Callithrix jacchus: one gene and its partners. The protein of the gene in region 2 interacts with the protein of the main gene of each other region in a biochemical or structural test. Links are inferred from orthologs where the notes say so. Each region holds a gene or a part of one and is shown on either strand. Other genes may lie near its edges.

Evidence for each region. The genes of interacting proteins can lie anywhere in the genome.
Region 1: the proteins of HDAC6 (region 2) and PRKCA form a complex in vitro, tested with the Homo sapiens proteins (2 studies listed by BioGRID, with this or other methods). The link is inferred for Callithrix jacchus from reciprocal best matches to the Homo sapiens genes HDAC6 and PRKCA.
Region 3: the proteins of HDAC6 (region 2) and MAPK3 form a complex in vitro, tested with the Homo sapiens proteins (2 studies listed by BioGRID, with this or other methods). The link is inferred for Callithrix jacchus from reciprocal best matches to the Homo sapiens genes HDAC6 and MAPK3.
Region 4: the proteins of HDAC6 (region 2) and CTTN form a complex in vitro, tested with the Homo sapiens proteins (3 studies listed by BioGRID and IntAct, with this or other methods). The link is inferred for Callithrix jacchus from reciprocal best matches to the Homo sapiens genes HDAC6 and CTTN.

Annotation. Positions count from the first base shown.
Region 1 is NC_133506.1:122,599,089-122,603,879, forward strand, and holds part of PRKCA (protein kinase C alpha type), read right to left. Parts: intron 1,249-4,791; coding exon 1,092-1,248; intron 97-1,091; coding exon 1-96. UniProt on the Homo sapiens protein: Calcium-activated, phospholipid- and diacylglycerol (DAG)-dependent serine/threonine-protein kinase that is involved in positive and negative regulation of cell proliferation, apoptosis, differentiation, migration and adhesion, tumorigenesis, cardiac hypertrophy, angiogenesis, platelet function and inflammation, by directly phosphorylating targets such as RAF1, BCL2, CSPG4, TNNT2/CTNT, or activating signaling cascade involving MAPK1/3 (ERK1/2) and RAP1GAP.
Region 2 is NC_133524.1:49,398,166-49,402,956, forward strand, and holds part of HDAC6 (protein deacetylase HDAC6), read left to right. Parts: coding exon 1-91; intron 92-1,017; coding exon 1,018-1,086; intron 1,087-1,197; coding exon 1,198-1,390; intron 1,391-2,815; coding exon 2,816-2,965; intron 2,966-4,791.
Region 3 is NC_133513.1:29,412,231-29,416,732, reverse strand, and holds the end of MAPK3 (mitogen-activated protein kinase 3), read right to left. Parts: coding exon 4,424-4,502; intron 4,175-4,423; coding exon 4,060-4,174; intron 3,679-4,059; coding exon 3,547-3,678; intron 3,380-3,546; coding exon 3,270-3,379; intron 3,175-3,269; coding exon 3,052-3,174; 3' UTR 3,021-3,051; intron 1,611-3,020; 3' UTR 914-1,610; downstream 1-913. Other genes in the region: lysophospholipase D GDPD3, read right to left, coding at 124-262.
Region 4 is NC_133511.1:127,376,320-127,381,110, reverse strand, and holds part of CTTN (src substrate cortactin), read right to left. Parts: intron 3,619-4,791; coding exon 3,508-3,618; intron 2,814-3,507; coding exon of another isoform or gene 2,751-2,813; intron 2,163-2,750; coding exon 2,107-2,162; intron 1-2,106.

The DNA.
Region 1 (4,791 bases), on a different chromosome or scaffold from region 2:
AAGGAAAGGGATCCCATGAAGTCATTCCTTGTTGTTCGATCCCAGTCCCAGATTTCTACAGACAGTCGCCGGTCTTTGTCTGAAGGTTTCAATTTGCTGCAAGACACACACACACACACGCAAACACCAGGTTATCTTGCTTGTGGTTTTATTGGGAGATAACACATGTACGTGACTTGAGACTGAGATAGAGAATTAGTATATTTAATTCTCTTACTGGTCCAGTAAAATACCAAACCTTATGCTGGCAACCAAAGCTCTACAGGAGGAGTTAATAAACTATGACCCATGGGCCAAATCTGGCCCAGTCTATTTCTATAAATAAAGATTTATTAGAATGCAGCCATGGCTATTTGTTTCCATATTGTCTATGGCTGCTTTGGCACTAGAAAGTTAGAGTTACAGAGGTGCAACAGAGACCGTATGACTCACAAAGCCTCAAATATATACTCTCTGGTCCTTCACAGAGCAGAACTTGCTGGTCCCTCTAGAATAGAGAGCTACCTTTCTGGCTGTCCACAGAAAAACTGCCTCCTGTTACTAGTCTACAAAGAGGACCTCTTGCTTTTGCTCAGCTGCCCTCAGTCCTCCTGACTTATTTATTTCCTTCTTCCCCTTCTACCGTCTCTACCTCTGAAACCCGGGCAGCCCTCCCAGGCTGACTTTAAATGTCACATTTTCCAGGAATTCTCTCTTTGAAGGCAAGAATGATCTTCCCGTTTCAGTGGCAATAACACTTTCTATGTCGCTCACTCATTCTGTGATCTAAAAATTATTTAAATTCTCGCCTTATGCCCTCCCCTAACTCTCAAAAGAACCTAAATCCATCAAGAGGTGGACATACCTGATACATTTATCCAGATTAGATAATAATAATTTGAGGCCTGAATTATGCAACTCTTGGTATCATAATTACCATCTATCCAACAGGTACTAATAGCTACCTCCCTAATGGCAGCCTGAGGAGATCTTAGGACTGAAGACATGTTTAAAGACATTTATAAGCAGCCTACTTCATCATCTCAAATAATGAGGTGGGCAACTGCATGGCGTATGGGAACGAAATTTTATCAAGGAGAGGGACCACTTACAAGGTAAAGGACTCATTCCACTGGGGATTTAGCGTGGAGCGGATGGTTTTGGTTTTTTGTTTGCTTTCGTTCTTGGGATCAGGAATGAGTTTCAGCTTCACATAAGGATCTGAAAGCCCGTTTGGGTCCATAGGGATTAGATTTTTTGCGTCTCGTACTGTGAAGAGAGAAGGAAGAAAAGATTACAAAAAGAGAACAAACCTATATTGCCCAGTGTCCTGTGTCAATACCAAGCTGAATAAAAGAGACGTCAGGATGGCGTTTAGGGAGAGAAAAGGTGGAAACAAAAGCCTCTAATGCTCGGCTTGAGAAAAGGTACCCGCTGCCATCACTGGCAGAGATAACGGGCATCATGTGGGCCCTTGTGGGCGCGTCTGGAGACTCAGCACCAGCCTCGACTGGCAGCATCAGCAACACTCAGATTATCTATTAGAAATGCAGAAACCCAGGTCCCACCCCAAACCTGACCAAGAAGAATCCACAATTTAACAAGATTCCCAGGTGACCTGTGCAGCTTCCCAGGAGTATGGTGCACCCTCCCTACACGGAAGCAGCCAGTCCGACCTAGTCTCTGGCGCTCACATGGAGCTGAGCTCTGGGAAGGTGTTACCCCATTTTGTGGGTAACGACCAATGGTTTCCAACCCTGGCTGTACATTGAAATCACATGGGGGTTGGGGAATGGGGGTGTTAAAAATTCTAAACCCCACAATTAAACTATAATTTCCAGGGAATGTGGCTCAAATATTGGTTTTTATTTGTTTGTTTTTGAGACAAAGTCTCGCTCTGTCGCCCAGGCTGGAGCACAGTGGTATGATCTTGGCTCATTGTAACCTCCGCCTCTTGGGTTCAAGTGATTCTCCTGCCTCAGCTTCCCGAGTAGCTGGGATTACAGGCCACCATACCGGGCTAATTTTTGTATTTTCAGTAGAGACAGGGTTTTACCATGTTGGTCAGGGTGGTCTTGAACTCCTGACCTTGTGATCCACCCGCCTTGGCCTCCCAAAGTGCTGGGATTACAGTCGTGAGCCACCCAGCCTGGCCAAGTATTTGTTTTTAAAAGCTCCTTGGGTGATTCTATTGGGCAGCAGGGGCAAGCTATACACAGCTATAATTCAGAATTGCTACGAGGTGCTGGTCCATGGACCCGCAGCATCTACATCACGTGGGAGCTCATTAGACACGCAGAACCGTGAGCCCTATCCTTGGACTTAATAACTCTGAATCCTCACTTTAACAAGACCTCCAGGTGCTTTCAATGCAATCCTAGTTTGAAAAACCTGATATGGGAATCAAAAATAATTAGAAAGAAAGGCCATTTCACCCAGAGGAAGGCAGGTCTGAGATTCAATGGCTGGCAGAGGCTCACAACAGTGAGAAGCTGTCTAAAGCCACTGCACATCAATGTAAAAGGTAATTTATCCACTGCTATGATGAATAGACAAAGCCTTCAGCCTCCTACCCCAAATGCCTTCCTCGTTATCTTCCAATGGCATCTTCCCCAGTAAGGCAGAATTATCAGATCCCTAACTGGTCAGACACCATCAGCACGCGTATAACTGGGACCAGGCTCCCCAGTCCAGTGGTTCCCACAGTGTGGTCCCTGGAACTGGTCCAGCGGAACTGGCATCACCTTCTGAATCAGAACTCTGGGGTGGAGTCCAATGAGCTATATTTACCAAGCCTCCAGGTGATTCTGATGTCCATAAAAGTCCAGAACCATGGATCTAGGCAAATAGCATAGTTTATCAGCATAGTTTGATTGTTAAACTAAGAATTAGAGAGGAATTTAGAAGCAAGCACTGGAGTTGGCAGTGGGCAGGGCTAGATGGGAAGGGGGCGGGGCAGGGGAGAACCCTAAAGATGTTGGGTCTTTGGACAAACATGTGGGAGGTACAGCCCTAGGATCAGAAGTCAGAAATAGGCACTGCCTTTACTAGTCTGTGGACCTACTGTGTGCTGTCTCCTGCCAGCCAACAGCCTTATGTCTTCCTTACCTGGCAACCTTACAGAGGTGGGTAACAGATGGGACTAAATTCAAATAGTCAGAGAAGGGGAGGGGACTGGCTCAGGTCTGCTAGCCACAGAGAAGCTGAACATATGTCTATCACACCCCACTGGTGCCTTCCAAGTATGTCTTCTCCTAAGAAAGTATCTGACCTCATTCATCTCGGGGAGCACATAAATAAAACAAACAGGCATGATCCCCGTGGCTCAGCAGGTGTCTCACCAGGTAACCCTGAGCACAGGGAAGCTGAGTCTCTGAGCCTCTGTTTCTTCATCTAGAAAAATGAAGAGGGGCATAATTCCAGTGGTACAGACTGTTGGGAAAATCAAAGAAAATAATGTTTATAAAAAACCTTACATTGTTGGGGTCTTAGAAAATGGAAAAAAAAAAAATCCATGATGTGAGTGCTCACTACAGCCCGGAAACAGCGTTTCAGACTTGTGTCCACTCTTATCATTCTGAAATCCAGAGGGTTGGAGGCCCCCAGGGAACCTGGGCACTCAAGAATTCACCAAGCTCCTGTGAAAGGTTTTAATCCAATGCAGAAGGTCTTGCCCCTAAAACATCAACCCTAAGTATCACAAAAGATGAAAAATGTGAGCATAAAAATGGAGCTCTCTCATGAGGAGTGGAAAGAGGCCAATGGTCTATCTCTGATTAAACACCAGAATGAGAATCAGCTGCTTTTTAAAGGTAGAAAATGCCCCAGAATGTCTAACACTGGAGGCTGCAGAAGGTCACATACAGGATAAGCCAATGAAGACCCTTATCAAGGCCACCAAGAGCTCCTGGGTTGCAGAATTATTGTGGGCATCTGCTTTTAAGTCTTCAATTTATATTCCTGACAACACACATACATACACACACACAATCATGGAAGTATGATCTCTTCTGAATGGTGATGAGTTAAAATCTTGATGGGATTTAAAGCTGTGAGCTTCCTACTGAGATACTATCATTTAAGTAGAAAATAAAAAGAGTTATCAATTCCAAATGTCATTGAGGCGGACAGTGGGTCCAAATTTCAATTTCTTATCGCAGCAGAGAACAGCCTGTGTGATGTGTGACTCATGGCATGCCAGGACACCTTAATCAGGATTATGAGCAACTAACTTGGGGGTCCCATCTGCTCGGAGTGTGGGATCTGGGGCAAGGCTGCCTGCATTTGAATTCTGGCTCTGCCACTCTGTAGTTGTGGGCAAGTTATTTTATCTCCCAAGTTTCCTCATCTCAAAACTTGTATCTCCTTCGTCAGGATTATGTAGGCTCATACATATTAAGTGCTTAGAACAGTGATTGGCACATGGTGAGAGCATGATAGTGATGATCCTAATTGTTCTTAATACAAGTCACTGGTGGAGAAGAAAATCAACAAGGCTTAGATGTCCAGAAACTGCATCGACAGCATCTGCAAATGCCGAGGAGAACAGTACAATGTGGCAATCTGCGAACAGGGCCTGCAACTGCATGGTTTCAAGAATGTCTTAGGCTAAGAGGCAATGCTAGGGGCATTACTCACAGGAATAGTTGTAAGGAAGCTGGAAGAGGAGAAGCTAGGAAAGAGAAAATAAGAGGGAAATTGAAGTGGGGAAGTAGACGAGAACAAGGGCTGGAGACAGAAGAGAGAAACAAGGGAAATATGCAATCAAGATGTGGAGTCAAATCCCAACACTTTGGGAGGCCAAGGCAGGCG
Region 2 (4,791 bases):
CGGAGCAGGACGCAGCTTGCGGTTTTTGCTTTTTCAACTCTGTGGCTGTGGCTGCTCGCCATGCCCAGGCTATCAGTGGGCATGCCCTGCGGTAAGGACTCCCTGTGGACCCCCAAATCCTGATCCTTGTGGAGATCTGGAAGCTCCCCCCACCCCATTGCTTACTCATCATACCCCATGGTCCAGCTCCTAGGACTTCCCCAGAAAGAAGTAAGGGTGCAACCTTTACCCAGAGAAGGACCGAGGATGGAGCCTCTCAGTACTTATTTAGATAGGGCCCCCAGATCGTGTCACCTGGGTGCTTATAAAACAGGATCCAGGTCTGGGCACAGTGGCTCACGCCTGTAATCCCAGCACTTTGGAAGGCCGAGGCAGGTGGATCACCTGAGGTCAGGAATTCAAGACCAGCATGACCAACATGGAGAAACCCATCTCTACTAAAAATACAAAAATTAGCCAGGCGTGGTGGTGCATGCCTGTAATCCCAGCTACTCAGGAGGCTGAAGCAGGAGAATCGCTTGAACCCGGGAGGCGGAGGTTGCAGTTGAGCTGAGATCATGCCATTGCACTCCAGCCTGGGCAATAAGAGCGAAACTACATCTCAAACAAACACACACCAGGATCCAGGGTCCCACCCTAGCATTTCTGGCCTATAGAAGCTGTCTCGACAGAACCCAGGTCCAAGCTCCCGATGCATACTCCAGAAGACCCAGAACTCAGCCCCCAGCATTAGCTGCCCGAGGTCTAGGTCCAGTTCCCTAGCAATGACCCAAAAGAGCCCAAGGTCCAGTTCCCTAGCAATGACCCAAAAGAGCCCAAGGTCCAGCCCCAAGCACTTGCTCGGGTCTACGAGACAGCCCTTGGGACCCCAGGATCATACTTTTCTCCTTAACTGACAGGACCCAGTGTCCTGCCACTCCACACTAAATATCTCTGCAGACCCCAGGGGTCTAGCCCAGCCCTCTTCCACGGGGTGAGTATCCTAGGTTACTGAGCTTCTGCCTCCTTCCTACCCAGGATCCTGATCGTGGATTGGGATGTCCACCATGGTAATGGAACTCAGCACATGTTTGAGGATGACCCCAGGTAAGATGCTGCAGTCAGGGGCTGTGGTGTGGTCAGGGAGATGGGTGAGCACCTCAGGGGTATTGGAGCCCCTAACCAGCTATGGCCCCCTTCCCACCCCCTCCCCGGCAGTGTACTCTATGTGTCCCTGCACCGCTACGATCATGGCACCTTCTTCCCCATGGGAGATGAGGGTGCCAGCAGCCAGATCGGCCGGGCTGCAGGCACAGGCTTCACCGTCAACGTGGCATGGAATGGGCCCCGCATAGGTGATGCTGACTACCTAGCTGCCTGGCATCGCCTGGTGCTTCCTATTGCCTACGAGGTAAAGCTCAGTGTAGATCTCAGGATGTATGTGATACACCTGTGCAGGTGGCAGCCTGGGCCTGCCTCCTCAGCATGTGTGCGTTTGACTGCCAGGTGGCGGATCATATGAGACAGCCCAAGGGTGACTAATGAGGCTACTGGGGCAGTTGATGACTGTGATTACCTTGTGTGTTTGACCACACAGGTGGCTGTACAGGACTGCCTTCTCTGTGTGACACTGTGTGAGTGACTGTCTTGCCTGTGTGTGTGAGGGCCTTCTGGCTATGCAGCAGTGGCCTGTGTCCTGGCTGGATCTGTGTTGTATATGTGTGCTATCACAAGTTCTTTAGTATGTGTGTGCAATTCTGTGCAAGTGGGTATTTCTCACCACCTTTTCTCTGTGCGATGGATGTGATATTGTATGTCACTAAATGCAGCCATCTCTATGACAGCCTGTATGGGACCCTCTGGATGTGGAGGGCTGTGTGTGACAGCAGTCACTGTCTGACTGTCTGCCCTGGCTGTTTGTGTATGTGTCTCTGACTGGGAGGTAGCTGCCTTCCCTCTGTGTGAGCTGTGGGGCGGGGGGGTCAGTGGCTTGTGTATGGCTGACCCTGGGAGGGAGGGGAAGGAGGTGTGAGCACTGCTCTGTCACCCTGGGTGCCAGTGTGCATCTTTGGATCTGCACGTGCATCTGACTATGCATGGGTGGCCAGGACAGCCTTCTGTGTGTATACAACTGTATGTGCAAGTGACCAGCTCTTGTGGACACACCAGAGTGCATGTGGCTGTTGTGGCTGTGTGGTGATGGCATGTGTATGATTGTGACTGCAGGATGGCTGTGGGTTATTGTCCTTTTTAAGAAACTATGTATGTATGTGTGCGCATGACTAGTGCAGATATGTAGTACTGTTCTATATGGGACTGTCTGTGTGGGATTACACGTGGCTTTGTGTGACCATCTTCTCTGTGTGTGGTGCTTGCGTTGCCATCTTCTGTTATGGAAGTGTGTGAGCACCCCTCTTTGGCACTATGTACATAAAACCCTGTATCTTGTGTATGTGTGTCCCACGTTTGACCCTGGGGTGTGTGTGTGAGGACATGTCTCTGTCTCTCCATTTCTCATGTCAGTCTCTTGACATCTGAGTCTGGTCTCATGACTCTGTCTCATGTCCCCATCTGTCCATTTTTGCTGTCTCCATGTTTCTAGATCTGCATCTGTTTCTTCTATCTCTGAGTCTATATTTCTCTTCTTCCTCTCTTCATTTTCAGTCTCTGCTTTTGCATCTCCCAGTCTTCAGGCCCCGTGTCTCCATCTCTCTGATTTGCATCTCCATGTCTTCATTTGTCCTTTTCTCCATCCATGTCTCCTTGTCACCACCACTTACTGCCTACCAAAAGCCCTTACCCTCATGCTTATACGTCTCTTCTCTCCCTGCCTCAGTTTAATCCAGAACTGGTGCTGGTCTCAGCTGGCTTTGACGCTGCACGGGGGGACCCGCTGGGGGGCTGCCAGATATCACCTGAGGGTTATGCCCACCTCACCCACCTGCTGATGGGCCTTGCCAGTGGCCGCATTATCCTTATCCTAGAGGTAACTCTCTCTTGGTAACCTTTTCCCACAGTGGGAGGGTAGTTTGGGAATCTTGGCACTATCATTCAGTATAGTTTCCTAAAATCTCCTTTAAGTGTCCCTGCCTGGAATTGTGGGCACACACTGGGTAGTAATTGGGTAATAATAATAAGAATAACAGCAACATTAACAGCTTTGAGTGCTCACTGTGTGCAAAGCACTCTTCTGAGCACTTCATGTATCTTATTCATTTAGTTACTTGGCAAAGCAGCCTTATGAGGTAGGGTTAGCTTTTCCCCTCTCAAGATCAGGGAAACTGAGGCACAAAGAGGCGTGATGACTAGATGACTGAAAGAAATGTGCCTGAGATGGCACATTTACTGATGGCAGAACCAGGACTTGAACCGATGCAGCGTGGCTCCAGGGTTTGTGTTTTTTACTGTTACCTGAACTGACTCTAACAAGTTCCTGGGACAAAGAAAATTCACTGACCTTTGTAAGTGACTCGGTATCCCCATGCCCTGTGCCTCAGTTTCCTCATCTTTATGAGGCTGGCTAATCATGGAGGAGTGCCTGGCATATAGTAAATGCTGGATCTGGTAGATCTGTTTTTTTTTTTTTAATTGAGACAGAGTCTCGCTCTGTCACCCAGGCTGGAGTGCAATGGCGCAATCTGAACTTACTGCAGCCTCCACCTTCCAGGTTCAAATGATCCTCCCACCTCAGCCTCCTGAGTAGCTGGGATTACAGATACCCATCACCACGCCTGGCTGATTTTTGTATTTTTAGTAGAGATGGGGTTTCACCATGTTGGCCAGTCTGGTCTTGAGCTCCTGGCCTCAAGAAATCCACCCACCTCAGCCTCACGGAGTGCTAGAATTACAAGTGTGAGCCACCACACCTAGCCCCTGGTTACTGTTATGCATTGTTCAGATACTAACCCGCTCAGCAACCTTCTGTGCTGTTATTTTCACTACTTTACAGATGAGGAAAATAAATCACAGAGAAATTAAGTGGCTTGCAAAAAGTCCCACTTACCATGTGCCCAGTACTGTTTGTGACAGGGCATGGTGGGAGTTAAAAACACAGATGACTCCATCAGAGAGCCAAAGTTCAAATCCCAGTGCTGCCTCTACAGCTGTTAGGACCTCAGAAAAGTCATCTAACCACTCCGAGCCTCAGTTTTATTTATTTATTTATTTTTTTGAGATGGAGTCTCGCTCTGTCACCCAGGCTGCAGTGCAGTAGTGCAATGTCAGCTCACTGCAACCTCCACCTCCCTGGTTCAAGCAACTCCCCTGCCTCAGCCTCCGGAGTAGCTGGGATTACAGGTGCACACCACCACGCCCGGCTAAGTTTTTTGTATTTTCAGTAGAGACAGGGTTTCACCATGTTGGCCAGGCTGGTCTCGAACTCCTGACCTTAGGCAATCTGCCCTCCTCAGCCTCCCAAAGTGCTGGGATTACAGGCGTAAGCCACTGCGCCCAGCCTTTTGCCTCAGTTTGTCTGTAAAAAGAATAGCAACTGGGATTCCTGTAGAGTGTAAAGAAAGTCAGAACAGGAGTCCATATGGAGAGAGAGTCCGTTGTTCCTGTACTAGATCAGGGCAGGGGCTTTTGTATGGGTTCACAGCAGGCGTCTCATGCAGGTCAGATCAGTGATTACTGTATGATGTGAGGCCAGGGGTTCCTGGACAGTGTCAAGACGGATTTCTGTATGGCATGAAGGCAAGTTCTGGTATAGACTGAGCACCTGTGGTTATGAGGATTGAGTTAATATGCATGAAGTACTTAAAACTGGGTCTGGCACAGAGCAAACACTTAATAAATAATGTCAGCTATTACTAA
Region 3 (4,502 bases), on a different chromosome or scaffold from region 2:
CGCCCTGCCCTGCCACCTCGCTCTCCTCCTCTTGGTCTCTGCCCTGTTTCTAGCATCCACCCCTTGGACCTACCTCTCTCTGCTGTCCACTTTGGCGCCTGTTCTCACCCCCACCCAGCTCACCTCCTCGGTGGGCTCCCAGGCGGATGCGGAAGTTGGGAGCCCGGGGTGTGTGCAGCAGGTGAGGCCGGCGCAGGAAGAAGCTGGAGAGCATGGCATAACTGCCCAGGGCAGGGAGGGCACAGTACAGGAAAAGGCTCATGACTGCACTCCTGCAGAAGCTCCCACAGCCGCACGCTCAGCCGTCCAGGGACTCTGCTGCCTGCCTAGCCGGTGTGGGCCAGCTCTACTACTGGCCACCGCCACGCCCCTGGGACCTGCTGAGCCTGCCGCTGGGCTGGCTTGGAGCCAGACTGCAGGGTTTGGCTGAAGCCAGGGTAGTATCAGGAGATGAGGCAAGCAGCCCTGACCCTCATATCCCTGGGCCCTTCCCAGACCCCAGCACCCACCCTGTCCTGGCCACACAAGGGGAATAAAAACCACCCAGGACTGTTAGCACCTCTCCCTCCCACTGGCGCTTGGTGGCCAGGGCATCCAACATGCCAGTTCTGTTCCCTTGCCATTTCAGAGGATCCAGGGGTATGTAGGGTGCCCCTGAGTCACCCCGAATCACCCCCAGCCAGTTAGACAGGAAGCCATTAGCAAGGGGACAGGACAGTGACTAAGGGGAAAATTGATCCCCTTCTTTCTAGGAGTCTGGAGCTCCTCAGAGGCCCATCCCCAGCCCTGGGCAGTGTGAGTGAAGGGCACCAGGCTCTGGAAAGCCTGAGCAAGCAGCAGCTGGGGTGCTGGAGTCCGTCTTCAGAGCCGCACGGGGCAGGGCAGGGCGTCGCAAACACAGACAGAGCTAGGGTCAGCCATAGACACATCTCTATATTTATATATTAGACGGGCCAAGGAGGTGGTGGGGGTGCCGGGCTCTCCACGCCCCCCAGCTCCACTCCGATCACCACACACAGAAGCAGTGAGGGCGCTCAAAGTGGCAGCTTTGACAGGAAGGGGATTCAGCTTGGCCCGGCTCCTCGGGGATGCTAGCCCTTGAGACTAAGGAATGTTCCTTCAGGGAAACTAGGGAGGGGGTTGAATGAGATGAGGAGGAAGGCCTGGCCCTGAGTCCTACTCAATGCCCCCCACCCTCCACCCCCGCCCCTCAGCAGGTTGGGCAGCCAGAGCCCTTCCATTCCAGAACTGCAGAGACTGGGACGCTGGGGAAGGGCACAGCAGCAGCAGCGGGAAACTGAACTGGGGCCACCTGAGCCTCCGATGCCCTGTGGAGAGGACAGGCAGAGAGGAGGAGGCCTTGACCTGCCTGAAGCTGGAGGCCTGAGCAAAGGAGAGAGGTGGCCAGGCCCATGTTCCACCCCGGCTGGGCTGCCAAGGTCTGAGCTGGGCACAGTGTCCATTTTCTAACAGTCCGGCAGGAGAGGGGCAGGAGGAAGGCAGCTCCTAAAGAGGGAAGCAGGCAGGAGAGGAGTCATCAGCACCCTCGGGCAGACCCGGTGCAGCCCATCACCCTCACAGCTGGGCAGGCTGGAGCTCAGTTTCCTTATCTGTAAATGGAGATAATCATAGTACCTAGCTCAAGGTACTGCTGTAAGATTAAAAGGATTAATACATGCGAACCTCTTAGAACAATGCTTAGGGTTTTATGCGTTCATTATTAGAACTGTCTCGGCCGGGTGTGGTGGCTCATGCCTGTAATCCCAGCACTTTGAGAAGCTGAGGCGGGTGGGTCACTTGAGCCCAGGAGTTGGAGACTGGCTTGGGCAAATAGTAAGACCCCAACTCTTAAAAAAAAAAAAAAAAAAAATTAGCCAGTTGCAAAGGCTCGTCCAGCTACCTGGGAGGATCCCTTGCGCCCAGGAATTTGAGGCTGCAGTGAGCTATGATTGTGCCACTGCATTCCAGCCTGGGCAACAGAGTGAGATACTGTCTCAAAAAAAACAAAAACAAAACAAGATAAATAAAACTGTTTCCAGGGAACTGAGGCACAGAGAGGCGAGGTGCCTTGTCTAATACCACACAGCACTTACTAAGTGGCACAGCTGCAGTTTGAGCCCAGGTGTGCTGCCTTCTTCCTATCAGGCCACACCTGGCCAGAGACAGGAAGAGACTGGAGGAGGCAGTGTGGGTGGGGGCAGGCCCAGTGGGGTCCCACAGCTATGTGAACTGCTAACCTGGCAGCAGGTGTGAGGAGGCCTCGCCATCTGGGTCAGGCTGGGTGATGCTGGGCCCCTCCCAAAGCGATCATGGCTCCACCTGCTTCTGCCACACCCAGAGCTGAGGCCTGGCTCAGGTCCTTACCTGGGTGACAGGGGCCCTCTGTAACCTCTTGCCTCTTTGCTAGTTCTGTTCCCAGAAGATTAGAATGGCTCCTGGGGCTGGAGGATGCAGGGTGTTGACAGGTGGAGACATTTGGGGTTGGAGGACTGGGTGGGCCACGAGTCTGGGTAGTCCTTGGGCATTTTTTTCTTTTATTGAGGCAGAGTCTCACTGTTGCCCAGGCTGGAGTGCAGTGGTGCAACCTCCACCTTCCAGGTTCAAGAAATCCTCCCACCACAGCCTCCTGAGTGGCTGGGTCTTATAGGTGTGCGCCACCATGCCCGGCTTATTTTTGTATTTTGAGTAGTTTTTATATGTTTTTGGTGTGTAATTTTTGTATTTTTAGTAGTTTCACCATGTTGGCCACGCTGGTCTTGAACTTCTGACCTCTGGTGACCTACTGGTCTAAGTCTGTCTCCCAAAGTGCTGGGATTCCAGGCATGAGCCACCATGCCCAGCTCCCTGGGCACCTCTGATGTCACCAGCCACATGGACCATGGGTGCGGGGCAAGCTTGCAGCTTAGATAGAGATAGAGAGAGAGGTAGATAGAGACAGAGATAGCTGTAGGTGTGGATATAGAGATAGAGATCTATATTTAGTATCAGTGTGTCTGTGTGCGGGCCATGGGGACACTCACCAGGCCCCAGGGCACAGGATATCTGTCTAGGTTAGGGGGCCTCCAGCGCCCCAGGCTGGAAGCGTGCTGTCTCTTGGAAGATGAGCTCCTTCAGCCGCTCCTTGGGTAGGTCATCCAGCTCCATGTCGAAGGTGAAGGGCTCCTCGGCCACTGGCTGGGGTGGCAGAGACGGTAAGGCTCAGGCCCGGTGTGGGGAATGCCGACTTGATCCCCTGCCCCCAGCCCCGCTGCTGCTAGGCACTGGCCCACCTCATCCGTTGGGTCATAGTACTGCTCCAGGTAGGGGTGGGCCAGCGCTTCCTCCACTGTGATCCGTTTGTTGGGGTTAAAGGTTAACATCCGGTCCAGCAGGTCAAGGGCTATGGAAGGGCAGGAGTCAGGGGTCACAGGGAAGGCTGGAGGAGCTCCCAGGAGCATCGCTTTGCTTCCCCATGCCCAGGGCCCGTCTCCTCCGGTGGCTGCTGGACTCACGCACCCTCCACAGCTCCCAGGGTTTATGCCACACCCGTCCCCACGTCTCTCATACCTTTGGAGTCCGACTTGGGGAAAAGCTTGGCCCAGGCCACCTTGGTCTTGGAGGGCAGAGACTGTAGGTAGTTTCGGGCCTTCATGTTGATGATACAATTCAGGTCCTCCTGGGATGGGGAGCCCAGGATGCCTGTGGATAAGGAGGTGACTTGGTAAATGATCACCTCCTCCTTTCTGGGAACAGAACAGGCAAGAGGGCAAGAACAAGACCCCCCAGCCTAGCAACCCATGCCAAACTCTTAGTCACCTCCTAGTCTGCTCTCCCAGCAGAGCAAGGGGCTGGATTCAGGCAGACTGAGGCTCAAATCCTAGGTGTGGTGCCTCCTTAGGTGTAGGACTTAGCCTTGCTTTTCCCATCTTTCCAGTGGGGATAATATCTATACCTCGTTGAGGTCTAGGAGATGCTGGAGGCACCCCGTACATGATGATGATATCCCTGACTCGGACTCTCAAGAAATCTCACCTAGGAAAAGCTAATTATCCCCCACTCAGTCAGCCGGGACTCCCTCACCCAGAATGTGGTTGAGCTGATCCAGGTAGTGCTTGCCAGGGAAGATGGGCCGGTTGGAGAGCATCTCAGCCAGAATGCAGCCCACAGACCAGATGTCGATGGACTTGGTATAGCCCTGGGAGAAAGGAGGAAGTGATGGGCTCCCGGGACAGCCTCAACAGGGTCCTGCTGCCTGTGCCAGGCCACCACCCCAAGCTAGATCCAACACCAGGCAGAAGGCAGAGGCCTGGAGGGCTCCACTCTCAGCTTCCTTGCAGAGCCCAAGCCCAGAGGGTGGAATGGGGGTCAGTGCCTGGCTCAGAGGTAGCTCCAGGGCTTCCTGGGACCTGGCCCCTTCCCTTCAGGAGTGGGCAGCCCCTCCTACCTTGGAGTTCAGCATGATCTCTGGGGCCCGGTACCAGCGTGTAGCCACATACTCTGTCAGGAAGCCAGTGTGGTCGTGC
Region 4 (4,791 bases), on a different chromosome or scaffold from region 2:
CAAGCCTCGGGGCCCGTCCTCCACACCTCCCAGTGGTGCAATCACACCTTCCTGCTTTGTAGGGGACGCAACTCTGGTTTGAGCAAACGATGGCGATGACTCTGAAGTGCTGAACTGGGCGCAGATGGCAGGGCTTGTGGAGACCAGCGGCCGCGCCCAGGTTCACTGCAGGTTTCACCACCTCTGATGAGAACCCCTGAGGCTCAGAAGCCACCAGAGCCCCCACCCCACGGCCCCCTTCTGCCCAGCACTCCTGCTAGCCCGTTCCTGGCCCGCCCTCCTTCCTCGGACCCAGCTCCCTCCTCCTGTCGGTCAGCTCCAGGATCCACTCCGCATCTCCTAAGCCACTCATACCTGTTCAAAGGCAAGGCCATCGGCCTTACTGGGCCCCATCACCCACCAGAACCACTGGAGACATTGCCTCACCCTCAGGGGACGACCTCACCTCACAGCCTGGGTTGTAGCCCCGATGCCACGATATAGTGGGACCTGGGCAGTTATGTCACCCTCTCTAAGCCTGGGGCTCAACTGCACAGCAAACCGAGAGAGAAGCACCAACCCCTCCCGGATTAAACACAAGAGCCCCAAAGGCAGCACCCCCACGCTGCCTCCCCATGTGCTCACAAGCTGCCACCGCCAAACCATCAATGCTGACCACAGACACCCACAGCACAGGCAGCCCCTTGGGTTCCAGCCTCGAATCTACAACCTGTGGCCCACCCATATGGGAGCTCATTCCCTCCACCCGTCCCAGCGCCTTTCAAGGCCCTGCCACCTCTGGGTCCCCTGCCCATGTCCTAACTGCATGCCTACTCCCCCTCCCCACTCTGCCCGAAGAGTGGGCCCAGCCCTGGCCCCACCCAAGCTGTCTCTCGCTGACACCCACATCTGCTCCTCCCAGTTCTCCAGCTCCACAGTCGGCCCCACGTCCACCCCACATCCACCCAAAGCAGATCCCCGCACTGTCCCTTGCCTGCTAAACTTTTCAGGGTCCAGCATGTCACATAATGACGTACAGAATGCTCTACGGCATTTGACGCTCTCCAGGGCTGGCTCTAGCCCTCCTCCCTGCCCTCCCTCTGTAGCTCGGCTCCTGGAGAACCTGCTGTGACTCCAGTCCCACGGGGCCCACACCTCGCCCTTCTGTGGTCTCCTGAGCTTTTGCTCCTGATGAATTCCCAGCTGCCCTCAAAAATGAGCCCCAGCGACTGCTCCCTGGGGACCCCAGCCCAAACACCTGCTCTGCCTGCCCACATTAGGAGTCCCTGGATGGCACTGTGTGTGGTCAACTGCAAGGCAAGGACTGACCCTACCACCTGTGACCGCCAGCCATGCACAGGAGCAGGAAGTGTGGAGTCTGAGTCTCCGTGATGCCGAAGACAGGAGACAAGGCATCGTCACACAGGCAGCACCGGCTGCCAGGGGGCAGCCCCACACGCAGTCTGACACACTCAGGCTCCAATCTGATTTACTGTTAAGAATTTAAGTTTAGGGCGAGCGCGGTGGCTCACGCCTATAATCCCAGCACTTTGGGAGACTGAGGCGGGTGGATCACGAGGTCAAGAGATCGAGACCATCCTGGTCAACAAGGTGAAACCCCGTCTCTACTAAAAATACAAAAAAAATTAGCTGGGCATGGTGGTGCGCGCCCATAGTCCCAGCTACTCGGGAGGCTGAGGCAGGAGAATTGCTTGAACCCAGAAGGCGGAGGTTGTGGTGAGCTGAGATCGTGCCATTGCACTCCAGCCTGGGTAACAACAGCGAAACTCAGTCTCAAAAAAAAAAAGAATTTAAGTTCAAATGGATGTGAGCCCTCGAGGCCCTCACTGCTCATGTTGAACACCTGGGTTCCCGTGGCAGCCCAGCTGTCCACTGCTGTGCCGCAGCAGGTGCTGAGCCTGCCTGGCCTGCGGCCCCCAGCTAGGAGGTGGGCCAGTGCCAATCCGATCCCACAGCGTGGCCATGAGGAGCACAGGACTGTTGGAGTCAGTCATCGCTGCTGCCACCGCTGCCGCCACCATGACGGAAATCACGTGTGCAGATGGCGGCCAGCACTGTGAGCCACGCCCACCCAGAAGACACCAAGCTCCGGGTCTGAATATTTACCTTATCCATCCGATCCTTCTGTACCCCATACTTCCCGCCGAATCCTTTGGAGTAGTCTGAAACGTGACAAAACACAACACTCACTGTGAGGTGGAGGCGAGCGTGGGGCCGACCATGGGTGCATGCAGACAGATCCAGAGACAGCCCAGGAAGGTGCGCCACGGCAGGAGAAACGACAACAAGCAAGCAAGGCAAGCTTTGCTTCCACCCAAGGTCGTGCGCCACAGGCAGGGGAAGCCGAGCACAGGCCAGGGGCAGGCTTCAGCATTCCCTGAGGGGCAGGAGGGGCGGGAGGGGCGGCGGGCTGAGGGAGCTAAGCCGAGGACAGAGGGCAGGGACAGGGACAGGGACAGGGACAGGCCTTCGCAGCGCGCCACTTCAATAGCACAGTCTTCCGCACCAGCACGGGCTTATTCTCATCTGCTTCCTGTGCTCCTGCTCTACTGAGCGCTAAAAAGAGGCTCAATCGCAGTTTGTTCTCTTGCTTTTTAAAAGAAAAAAAAAATCCATGTGGAAACTCTACCAGCCAAACACTTCTGTTGCAGCAACACAGATCCACATGAAAGTCACACCGTCATGCAGAGTGAGGCCACGGAGAGCCACCGCCACCTCCATGCAGTCTGTGGGACCACCCGGGTGTTTACCTGCCCCGGCCTCAACACTGCTGTGCGTTTCTAATGCCGCAGGTGGGAAGCCTAGGATCTGCCCTGCAGGGTTAGGGAATGACTGTTTTTCCAATTATATGTTCAGGCTCTAAGAAGCAAGTCCAGATTCTGAAGGTAACAAAGATACTGCCCTAAGGAAGGGTGTGGAGCTGGCGTCACGCACACACTGTGTGGCTCTGTGTGGAGATGTCACACACACGGTGTCATCAAACGGGACAAACAAAAAACCTCCCACCCCGGCCAAAAACACCACAAATGACACAGACCACACGGGACACGCCTGTCTCCTGGGCCTCACTGCTATGAAGCCCCTGCTCAAATGGCCAGTGGCTTGGCTGGAGCAAACACCTCTCTTGTCATCTGGAAGGCAGGAAGGCCTGACTCAATGGCTCACAGCAGTCACGTTAATGGCACAACAGCCTCTGGCAGGATGCCGCTGAAGAGCGGAGATGCCCGTCCACAGACTGGGTGAGTCACAGGGTTAGAGAGACAGCACCCACTCACTAACTGGCGCTTCCTGCCATGCACAGATCGCAGGCTCACAGGGAAGAAGGCGAAGAGCAGCTCAACATCAGTGTGGCTCTAACAGACGTGGGTGTCAGTGCCCAGTGGCCTGACAGTGGACAGCTGGTGACAGAGGAGGGCCATGCTGCAGGTGCTGACGGTGAGCCCTGAAGTCTGTGCTAGAAGTGGCTGCACGGAGGGGGGGAAGGTAGGAGGCTAGTGGCAACTGTGCCTTGCTGGGACTCGTGCTTGGCCAGCTTCTCCTTGTAATCAAACCCCACGGCAGCGGAGTCCTGCCTCTCCGACTGAACACCGAATTTGCCTCCAAAACCAGTCTTATAATCTGAAAATCCACAAGCAACAGTGGGGAAAACAACCGAGAGAGAAAACACAGTAGGGTTAGAGTTACATGAGCAGGTGCAGAAGCAAACACTTTCCGGAAAGCAAGGGCTCTCCCGAGCTCACGGCCTTCAAGATCCAACCCCCAGGCTCAGGGCTGGCTCAAAGGTCAACGTTAAAGAACGAACTGAAAATCCAAACACTCAGCCAAGATCCGGAAACAGGCTAAGAACTGTACTTCAAATAATGCCGTAACAGCACTCTGGGCTGTGCAGCTCACTCCGAGGGTCCTACCCACACTGCAGAGGAGTGTGCATCTGCATCCATGGGAGGAGAGGCCCTGCAGATGCGGAGGGCACCACAGCCGCCTCAGCCCTGCCCCTGCCTCTCGGGGCTGGCTCACACTGGGAGGGTTTCAGCCCCCTTGAGCTCATTTTCCTAGGGATGGGGGACCTGACAAGAAAACACTTCCAGTTCAAAAGTAAGTATCTCCTGCCAAAAACTGCGGCCCACTTTATAGACAAGAAACCTGGACTAGGAGCACTGTTTCTCTTGCACCTCCTGAAGGCAGAAGACAAGCGCATCCCAGAAGCGCTGCAGGCCTGACCTATGCCCCCACTACCCAGCTGAACCCAGCCCCCTGCTGCAGGCTTGACCCATGTCCCTACTCCTGAGGAAACCCAGCCCCCTGCTGCAGGCCTGACCCATGTCCCCACTCCCAGGGAAACCCAGCCCCCTGCTGCAGGCCTGACCCATGTCCCCACTACCCAGCTAAACCCAGCCCCCTGTTGCAGGCCTGACCCATGTCCCCACTACCCAGCTAAACCCAGCCCCCTGCTGCAGGCCTGACCCATGTCCCCACTACCCAGCTAAACCCAGCCCCCTGCTGCAGGCCTGACCCATGCCCCTACTCCTGAGGAAACCCAGCCCCCCGCTGCAGGCCTGACCCATGTCCCCACTACCCAGCTAAACCCAGCCCCCTGCTGCAGGCTTGACCCATGCCCCTACTCCTGAGGAAACCCAGCCCCCTGCTGCAGGCCTGACCCATGCCCCTACTCCTGAGGAAACCCAGCCCCCTGCTGCAGGCCTGACCCATGCCCCTACTCCTGAGGAAACCCAGCCCCCTGCTGCAGGCCTGACCCATGCCCCTACTCCTGAGGAAACCCAGCCCCCTGCT